Linked DNA regions of Mus musculus. The protein of the gene in region 2 purifies or fractionates together with the protein of the main gene of each other region. This does not show direct contact. Links are inferred from orthologs where the notes say so. Each region holds a gene or a part of one and is shown on either strand. Other genes may lie near its edges.

Region 1 (4,259 bases), on a different chromosome or scaffold from region 2:
GGATTGGCAATAGAAACTACTTGGAAGCATCTAGAAGCACACAGATCCCTGAGCAGGACTTACAGTTAGGCACTGGCTCAGAGGCTGGTGTTGAAACAGAAGTAGAAACAGCTCCAGAGACCACCTGCATTTCTGTCTCCTCCCTCCTTTCCCCTCCCTCCACTGCCCTCCCCTTCCCTTCAGTGTTCTTTGGATCCCCTTGTTGACTTCAAGGTAGGTTACTGTGGAGCCCACCATGATGCAGAGAAAAGCAGCCTCAGTTCTCAGCCTTGGCAACTTTCGAAGGGCATGGCTTGCTCAACTTGTCTGTTTTAAGACAGTCTCATGTAGCCCAGGCTGGCCTAGAACTCACGATGCAGCCTGAGGATGACCTTCACAATCTGAGCTGAGTGCTGGAACTATATGGGTGACCACCTTTTATGCAGTATTGGGGGTTAAACAAATATGGCTAAGTGCATGCTGGGCAAACACTCTTCCCTCTGAGCCACAGCGCAGGCCTCCAGGACTGTTCGGAAGTCAGGACATCTCACAGCTCCAGCTGCCCTTAGAAACTATTCCCTTTAGCTCTCCTCCCCCATCCCCTTACTCCACCCAGGGTGCCCACAGCCTCCCTGTCAAACACTGTTCCTTGTGACTCTCTTAATAACAGGTCCAAGGCTCTGCCTAAGTCTCCTTTGGTGACTCCTTCACCTGCTCCTCCCTCCCATGATTGCTCTTTGAGTCCCTCGGTTCCGGGGCGCATAATCCAGTATTAGTTTACCTGCTCCACTCATTCCCAAGCAATGATCCAAGAATCTGCCACACCCATCTCATACAATACCACTCTGAAATTCCTTCTTCCTCTCTCCTGAACCCTGCTAATCCTTCCACACTCAGCACAAATGCCAACCAGACCCTAAGCTTTCCCCTATCACGTTACCAACAGATTAAATCTACCAGGACTCTGTTTACCTTGGTGAAATTATGTGTCTTCTGAGCATCACAGCAGCAGCTAGTATTATGGGTCACTGGAGAACTTGGAGTCCACACCAGTCAACAGGGTCAACTGCTAGTCTCGAGGAAGCAGGATTTGAATGCACACAGGGAGGCAGCAGTTGGTCACTGGGTATATTCAGCATTCGCAGGACTTCACCCTGTTATGTTTGTCCACTCTAGCCACTAATGAACTTAATGAGAATGGACTGGGTTGCTGCTTTCTTCCCAGACCAGGGGTACATAAAGAACTTCTAGGGGTATACTGAGGGAAAGTAAGTTTAGATCGGCACATATCTTCCCTATATGCACAAGCTAAGAACTCTTTCTACTGGCCTGAGCTCAGAGATCCTTACAGCAGGACGCTGGACACAGGAGGATGTGAGAAGGTAATATTGGTGCAGACTGCCTGAAACCTGCCTGGCCAATGGTAGCTGGAAATATGACCAAGGTACAATCCATACTTTCAGGTGGAGACACCTGAAAGCCAGAAGCTTTGTATTGGTGGCCGGCAGGAACCAAGGGCTCTGGGACACACAGGGCTGGAAGGCTGGGGAGAAGTCAGAGAGGCAGGACAGGGTGTCTTACTGCGGAGACCTGGCAGAGGAGAGCCAGTCAGCAGTTTCTGTATGGCCCATGGAAGGCTTTCTCGGTGTTTGATCCCTGCCGCCAGACAGACCCAACACTGTGAAAGGTCACTTGATTGCAATGGTCTGATAATCTACAGATACGAAGATTCAGGAAAAACTGGTTTGTCCTTTCTGCGTGGGTACTACCCCCACTGAGCTTCCCAAAGTCCTTGCACTGTCAGAAGCTTTCCCCTAGCAGAAAGGGCAGTGATTTTCTAGCCTCAAGACCAGCTCACTCATCTCACCAGCTGGGTGGTCTTCTGCAAGCTCCTTCACCCCTCCTTGTCTGGAGCTGCTTCCTGTAAAGTGGGGTGAACTTGCCCACCGCCCAAATGTTGCTGAGGGGATGTGGGCGGGCCTGGGAAGCTTGTGCTTCCCGCGGATCTGCCCGGTCTTGGCCACCAAGGGCTGTCTCCCAGTTCATGTTCTCTACTACCCAGGAAACCAACCAGACACTGCAGACGTCTGAGCCCAAGAGGAGGGAGGGCCATCTCCTCGGGGAACCTCCCGCCCCTGCGGCTTAAGTGGAGACTCCCACCCAGGCAAGGCAGGCTGCAGTTTGGGGATGGGGAGACGCTGGGGGGTAGATCTGAACTTCAGATCCCGGTTCTCCCGAGTCCTGCTTACCTGCGGCTCCAGCAGCCCGCGCTGCTCGGCACTGCGGGACGCCGGGCGCGCAGCGCGAAACGCGGAGAACACGGGGATGCGGTGGCCAGGACTGTACAGAGTGGCGAAGCGCTCGGAGCCCGCGAAGCGTTGACAGATCCTCACGTGCGCTTCGGTCGCCAGCCCGGCGGGTGGGGTCCCCTTGTAGAAGAAACGGTCGCATTCGCCGAAGCCCGCTTGCTGCGGGAGCAGCAGCCGGGCCTGCAACAGCCCTGCCAGGGCCAGGAGGCCGCCCAGCGCCAGCCAGCGCGCACAGCCCATGGCGGCCTCTGCGCGGCCGGGCGCCGCTAGAGCAGGGAAGTCCGCGGTGAGCCTCTCTGGCGGGGCGGCTCTGGGCCAAGGCCGCGCCCCTTCTCCGCCTCCACCCCGAAGATGGCTGCAGTGCTCAGCCGCGGCTTTCTGCGGCTGCACCCACCCCTGGAGACCGGACACCTGCCGCGGCGCTGCTGTGTGCCAGAGCTCCCCCTCCGCGCTGGACTGGCTTAGCCCAAGGGGCTGTCCCCAGGGCTGGCGCTGAGAAGTCGGACCTTGCGTGCACCAGGTTCCTCCGGGATGGGGAGATGTCCACAGAGGAGACGGTGCCTACCCTTCCGCATCAGACCCCAGTTAAGAAACCCTGTTAAAGCCGGGTTTTTGGTAGAGGCAGGGGGATCCGTAAGACCCTGCTAAATAAATAAATAAATAAATAAATAAATAAATAAATAAATAAATAAATAAATAAATAAATACTGATAAAGGAAGTTCTTAGGCAGACAGCACAGCCCGGCCGTGGTTTACTTGGTATGAGCATTAGATATCAAACCGAAACTCAGAAGGGAACAAGACAGCCAACACCCTGTATTCATCCCACTGCTCACATGCCTCTGCACACCCCCACCTTGAATTAGTAGAGTGATAACCGACAAGAGCAGGATCTCTGTTTGGTGAGCCTAGTATTAATTAAAAAACAAGCAAACAAACAAACAAACAAACAAAACATGCTGTTTACGGAATCACTGAAAACCCAGTGTTAATCCACTGCGTGACTCCTACAGGGTTTTAGGATACAGTGAAGGAAGTTGGCCTGAAAAGATGATATCTGAACTGACACCCTGAGGAAGGCAGCCCCAAGCTGGACTTTCCCAGAGGGGAAAAGAATGTGGGAGGGACTTGAGACAGGCTGGTGGAATAAAGAGCAGAGGAATCTGGCTGGGATGTGAGCAGAGTGATTGACTAGGATTAAGAAGCCCAGCCCCGGTTCCCACTCCCAGTAAATAACTAGCTGTGGTGGTGTGCACAGGGACCAGGAGTTCAAAGGCAGAATGGGCTTCTTGGACCCTGACTCAAACTGAAGTAATTAATTTAGTTTAAAAATAAAACTGAGGTCTGGAGCAACAGTATACATTAGGTTAGGGAACTGAGAAGGGCGACTTAGGCTCGTAATTCCGGGACAGAGGTTAAGACCAGCCTGGACTACAAATCAAGACCGTTTCAACAAACAAACAAACAAACAAAATAAATAAATAAAACATCACTGAAAGCTTGGATCTTTCTACCATAACCAGGTTGGGGAGATGGCTTCATGGTCACAGTGACTGCCACGCAAACTTGGCAGCGGGGGTCCAGATATAAGCAAGAGGATCTGTTTGCGTTTGATGCACAGAACCTGAGTTTAAAAAGAAAAGCAGGGCAAGGTGGCACAGACTTGTGATCTCATGTTGGGGGCACAGAAACAGCTAAGTTCTTGGGGCTTGAAGATCAGCTTGGCTTCCTTGGTGAGCGTCAGGTCAGTGAGAGTCAATGTGGACAGCTCTAACACCCAGGACTCTAGCTGTGTACATATCTCTGCCCCACTGCCTCAGACCCACAGTAGGCTTCAGTTTTATCCAAGCCTCCTGTGGGCTGCTGCCAGATATAAACATCTAATGTTGATAATACTGTCGACTTGACTTCCTTGTGCTCATAGCAAAAGACACTGTTTTTGATTTTGCTTTTGATTGCTCACATGTTTAC
Region 2 (4,133 bases):
TCACTCTTGCTACCTGCCAGAGCAGCAGGCTTTGAGGAAGAAACATTGAATCTAACAAGGTATCAATTGCCCAACTAGACCAAGAATGATCACAAGGGCCCCAGGTCCTGTGGCTACCCTAGGCCCACTTCTACAGAGCTGTGGGCCTCACTCTTGGCTCCATTTCACACAGGCACACACAATGCCAAGAGGAAGTCAGTCCTCCTGGCAAGCTCAGAAGGGGAAACCTCTGGGCTCTTCTAGGACTCAAACTGGGAAATGTGAGGCACCTGGCTGCCATCCACGCCCTTCACTTTGCATTCTTTGAGCTTCTCCAACCAGGACCTGACTGGGACCAGCTGTTTTCAGAGCTTGCCCAGCTAAGATCCAGGGATGAAAAAGTGAATCAGCCCATGCCCGTGGTCCTGTGTCCTCTCACCAGCTATGGCCATAGCACAAGAATGACCACTGAAGTAAAGGAGAGCAGTTGTCACTGACAGGCAGCCCAACATCAATTGAGACTGACAGGCTCTGTGTACAGGCTCTGGCATAAGTCCTGTACACAGATTAACTCACTTCACTGTCCAGCATTTTCAGGGTTGTCTCATTGTTTCTAATTGGTGGACGGTCAGATACACCATATAATCCATAGAAGTCAGGGCAATTCTTCCATCTCAGGCTCAAAGTTGCAGGAGTTTAGCACCAAACTCAGCTAATGGTGACCTGAGGCCAACTTTTAACACAGAGGGAGAGATCTGCTTTATGCTTACCATTTAGTACTAACTGTAGGACTACCCGAGAGAGGAAACCTGAGATACAGAAAAATGTTCAAAGTCAGAATGAAAGCAGCTCTGGACACAGAAGAACTCCACACAGCTAATGTTAAGGCCTGAGGAGTTCTTCTGCTTTTGGCAGAATAACCCAGAGCCACTGAAGGTGGAGGGCTGCTGCTGCCCCTTGGCTTCCTGTAAGCCTCAGAATAATCCCCTGAAGAGGAGGGAGGGGTGTGAGCAGAGGGGTGTGGCACTAGTGGTGCATGCCTGAAAGCCCAAGGCTGCAGAAGCTGAGGCAGGATTATCACAGGTCTCAAGGATGGTCTGGGCTACAACACGTACTTGCTAAAAAACAAGGGGGAGAGGGCAGACTGCTTCTAGGTCTTGCAATTAGAGAATGGCTTTTAGTTTTAGATTTTAGGTGAAAGATACTATTTAAGATATTTAGCCTAACACTACAAACTTGTGCTCACACAGGCTGCTACAATACCTTTTTAAATTTGTAAAGTAAATTTCAGTCAGGTGTGGTAGGTCAAGTCTATAATCCCAGCACACACTTGGGGAGGCGGAGACCTAACTAATTCAAGACTAATTGGAGGTCTGGAGAGATGGATCAGCAGTTAAGAGCACTGACTACCCTTCTTGAAGGTCACGAGTTCAAATCCCAGCAACCACATGGTGGTTCATAACCATCTGTAATGAAATTGGACACCCTCTTCTGGTGTGTCTGAAAACAGCTACGGTGTACTTACATATAATAAATAAATATCTTTTTAAAAAAGGACTAATAGGACCTACACAACACTCCATCTCAAAAACCCAAAGGCTAGCTATGTAGCTCAGAACAGCCACTACGAAGCATAAGATTCTGAGTTCAATCCTTAGGCTGTCAGTTAGTTGACCTGTAACTATTCTGCCCTGTTTGGGGGAGTTAAAAGCTAAATTTGTAAACCTATGTATGCGACAATCTTTATTGAAATCTAGTATACTCCAAATCAGATCCCTCAAATACTGTTTTGGGGTGTTTTGTTTTGTTGTTTTCTTTTTCATAAACTCAGGCTATTCTGTGCCTGAGTCGTGGTACCCTGGAGGGGTAGGGGAGGGGTAAGGGAGGGAGGTAACTTGTGTAGCATCCAAAACTATTACAAAGCCTGCCCTTCTTGCCCCGGCTTACAAAAGCTTGTAAAACAGAAAAGGTCATTATCAGCTGGCATAGGATAAGACGGTCTCCTAGTCCCAAACAATGCTTACTGTGGGGAGGCTCAGGTTTTCCAGAAATGCCTAACTGAGAACAAGTTTCAGTCTACAAGACAGGAAAGCAGACAGATGACAGAGCCACCCTGCTAGCACAAAACTCTCCTGAAAGGACCTCCCCCCGCCCCCAAAGTACAGGACCGATGATCCACGGGTTTTAAGAAAATGCCCACAGTACCTATGGCAGGCACCTGTCCCTCTGGAACTTTAACTCCAAAACGGGCACTCCTCCTCTGGCTTGAGCATACTGTCTCCTCCGACCCTGTGCATATCCCTCTGCCTTAAGAACCAGAAATCAAATCCTGCTCAAGACATCTGAAGGGCAAAAGCTTTTGGCCAAGTCCCCCCAGAAGGGTCTGCATCCTCCAGCAGCCAGAGCAAACCTAGAACTTGCAGGAAAAGACCCAGGTGTCATGAAGAGGGCCACTGCACGTCAGGGAGTCACACGGGTAGTAACCCAGACCAAGCATGAGGCCAGCCCGGCAGATCCTCCCACCCCAAGCCACAGACACAGCTAGCAGGTGAGGCATGTCCACCTACACTAGTTCTAAGAGTTGTCCTGACAGCAATCACAACCATCTTTTAAAAAAAATCTGAAAGTTTAAGATGATGTGCTCTCATATCCTCCTCTGCAGCCCAGAGCCAGTCAAGTCCCTTAGGGGTGTCTACAAGAATGAAGTCACTTAAAAATTCAGTGTAGGTCCTTGAGATCAGAAGCAGCCGGCGGTAGCGGCCGACCGGTGTACTCACCAGCGCTCCCTTCGCAGGTAAGGGACAGCAGGAGGCACCCAGGTGGAGCGCAGCTGAGCGCCCGGTATATATACAGCGAAGGTGTTGCGCAAAGAGGCCGGCGGCAGTCGCTGTCATCACGCCCCTCGCACATTCCAGGACCGCCTGCTGCCGCCGCCACGGCACTGCCTACCTGCCGGCTTAGTGAGCCCATCGCGGGGAGAAACCTCAGACCAGGCCCGCAGTAGGAACGGCCGAACCGCCTGCGCCCCGGTGGCGCCCCGCGCGCCCCGAATCCCTGCCTGCCTCCCTCACACGCGGGAGTTGCTGCGAATGCTGACCACCAGCTGTGGGCCTCTGCCCTCTGCCTCGTTCTCCCAGAGTCTCTGTGCCGTTCCGTCTCCAGGGCTGGAGAGGTTAGACACTGAGCAACAGATTGTAAATTCAGGGACAAGATTCTTCTTCTTCGCAACAAAGCCAGGATTGTTCCAGGTGCCTCTGCCTGGAGACCTGTCTGGCTTGGGCAGTTAGAACAAGGTCAGCATGGAACTTAAGACTGACTGCTAGGGAGTGGCGGGCCTGGAGAAGGGGTGCTTTCTCTACAGTGTGGGTGCCCTGGGTCAGTCGCCCCCCATCCCCATCTCTACCCACTGTAAGGTGGCCTGGAGATCAGCCCCAGGAGGCCCCCCCCTTCCCCCCAGGCTAGTACTGAACAAGATGGAAACAGTGGATTTAGCCTCAGATCAGAGCTTCAAAGCCTTGCCTCAGAGGCCCAGGAGCCAAGATTAAGTAAGGCACGGGGTAAGGGCACAGGCTCACACAGGAACTGCTAAAACAGAGCTAGTTTTGCCTCAAACTCCAAGTACCCATAACTAATGTTTGGAGGTGCGCTGCCCTGGGCTAAGCTCTCAGGATCTTAGCTGCCTGTCTTCAGTTCCCTGCTCGCCCCCCTTGCCGTCCCCTCCTCATTTTTCTCAGTGTAAAATGTGTGTCCTTGGTTCACAGCACTCAATATTTTAACACTGTCCTTCCAGAGTTGGAGGACTAGGAAGGTTCTGAGACTTATCACAGGTGCCAATACTGTCTACAGCAGCACAAAGCACAAACGACTCAGTTGGAGACAGGGAAGAAAGCTAGCCTGCCTGGTGGCCCTGTGGAGGAATAATGTTTGCTCTACAGGACAAACTAAGGAGTTCTCAGCAAGCACCTCTCAGAGCACAGGCTGGAGTAAACGGAGTCCACCCCCACGTGACCACCACGGAGTTCAGCACAGCCTGTAGCCAGCGGAGGGCAGGGCAGGGCAGGCTGCACTCTCCACCTACGCTGTTCCCAGGAACCCTGAGGCCTTCACTCACTGGTCATCTATCCTGTGACCCTGCCTCACAGTGGCTAAAGGCT

Evidence for each region.
Region 1: the proteins of Slc34a2 (region 2) and Endod1 purify together in Homo sapiens (co-immunoprecipitation; 3 studies listed by BioGRID and IntAct, counting the BioPlex papers as one, with this or other methods). This does not show direct contact. The link is inferred for Mus musculus from reciprocal best matches to the Homo sapiens genes SLC34A2 and ENDOD1.

What each region holds. Positions count from the first base shown.
Region 1 is NC_000075.6:14,378,443-14,382,701, forward strand, and holds the start of Endod1 (endonuclease domain-containing 1 protein precursor), read right to left. Parts: upstream 2,801-4,259; 5' UTR 2,529-2,800; coding exon 2,229-2,528; intron 1,049-2,228; exon of another isoform or gene 952-1,048; intron 1-951. UniProt on the Homo sapiens protein: May act as a DNase and a RNase. Plays a role in the modulation of innate immune signaling through the cGAS-STING pathway by interacting with RNF26.
Region 2 is NC_000071.6:53,048,020-53,052,152, reverse strand, and holds the start of Slc34a2 (sodium-dependent phosphate transport protein 2B), read right to left. Parts: upstream 2,801-4,133; 5' UTR 2,757-2,800; intron 1-2,756. UniProt on the Homo sapiens protein: Involved in actively transporting phosphate into cells via Na(+) cotransport.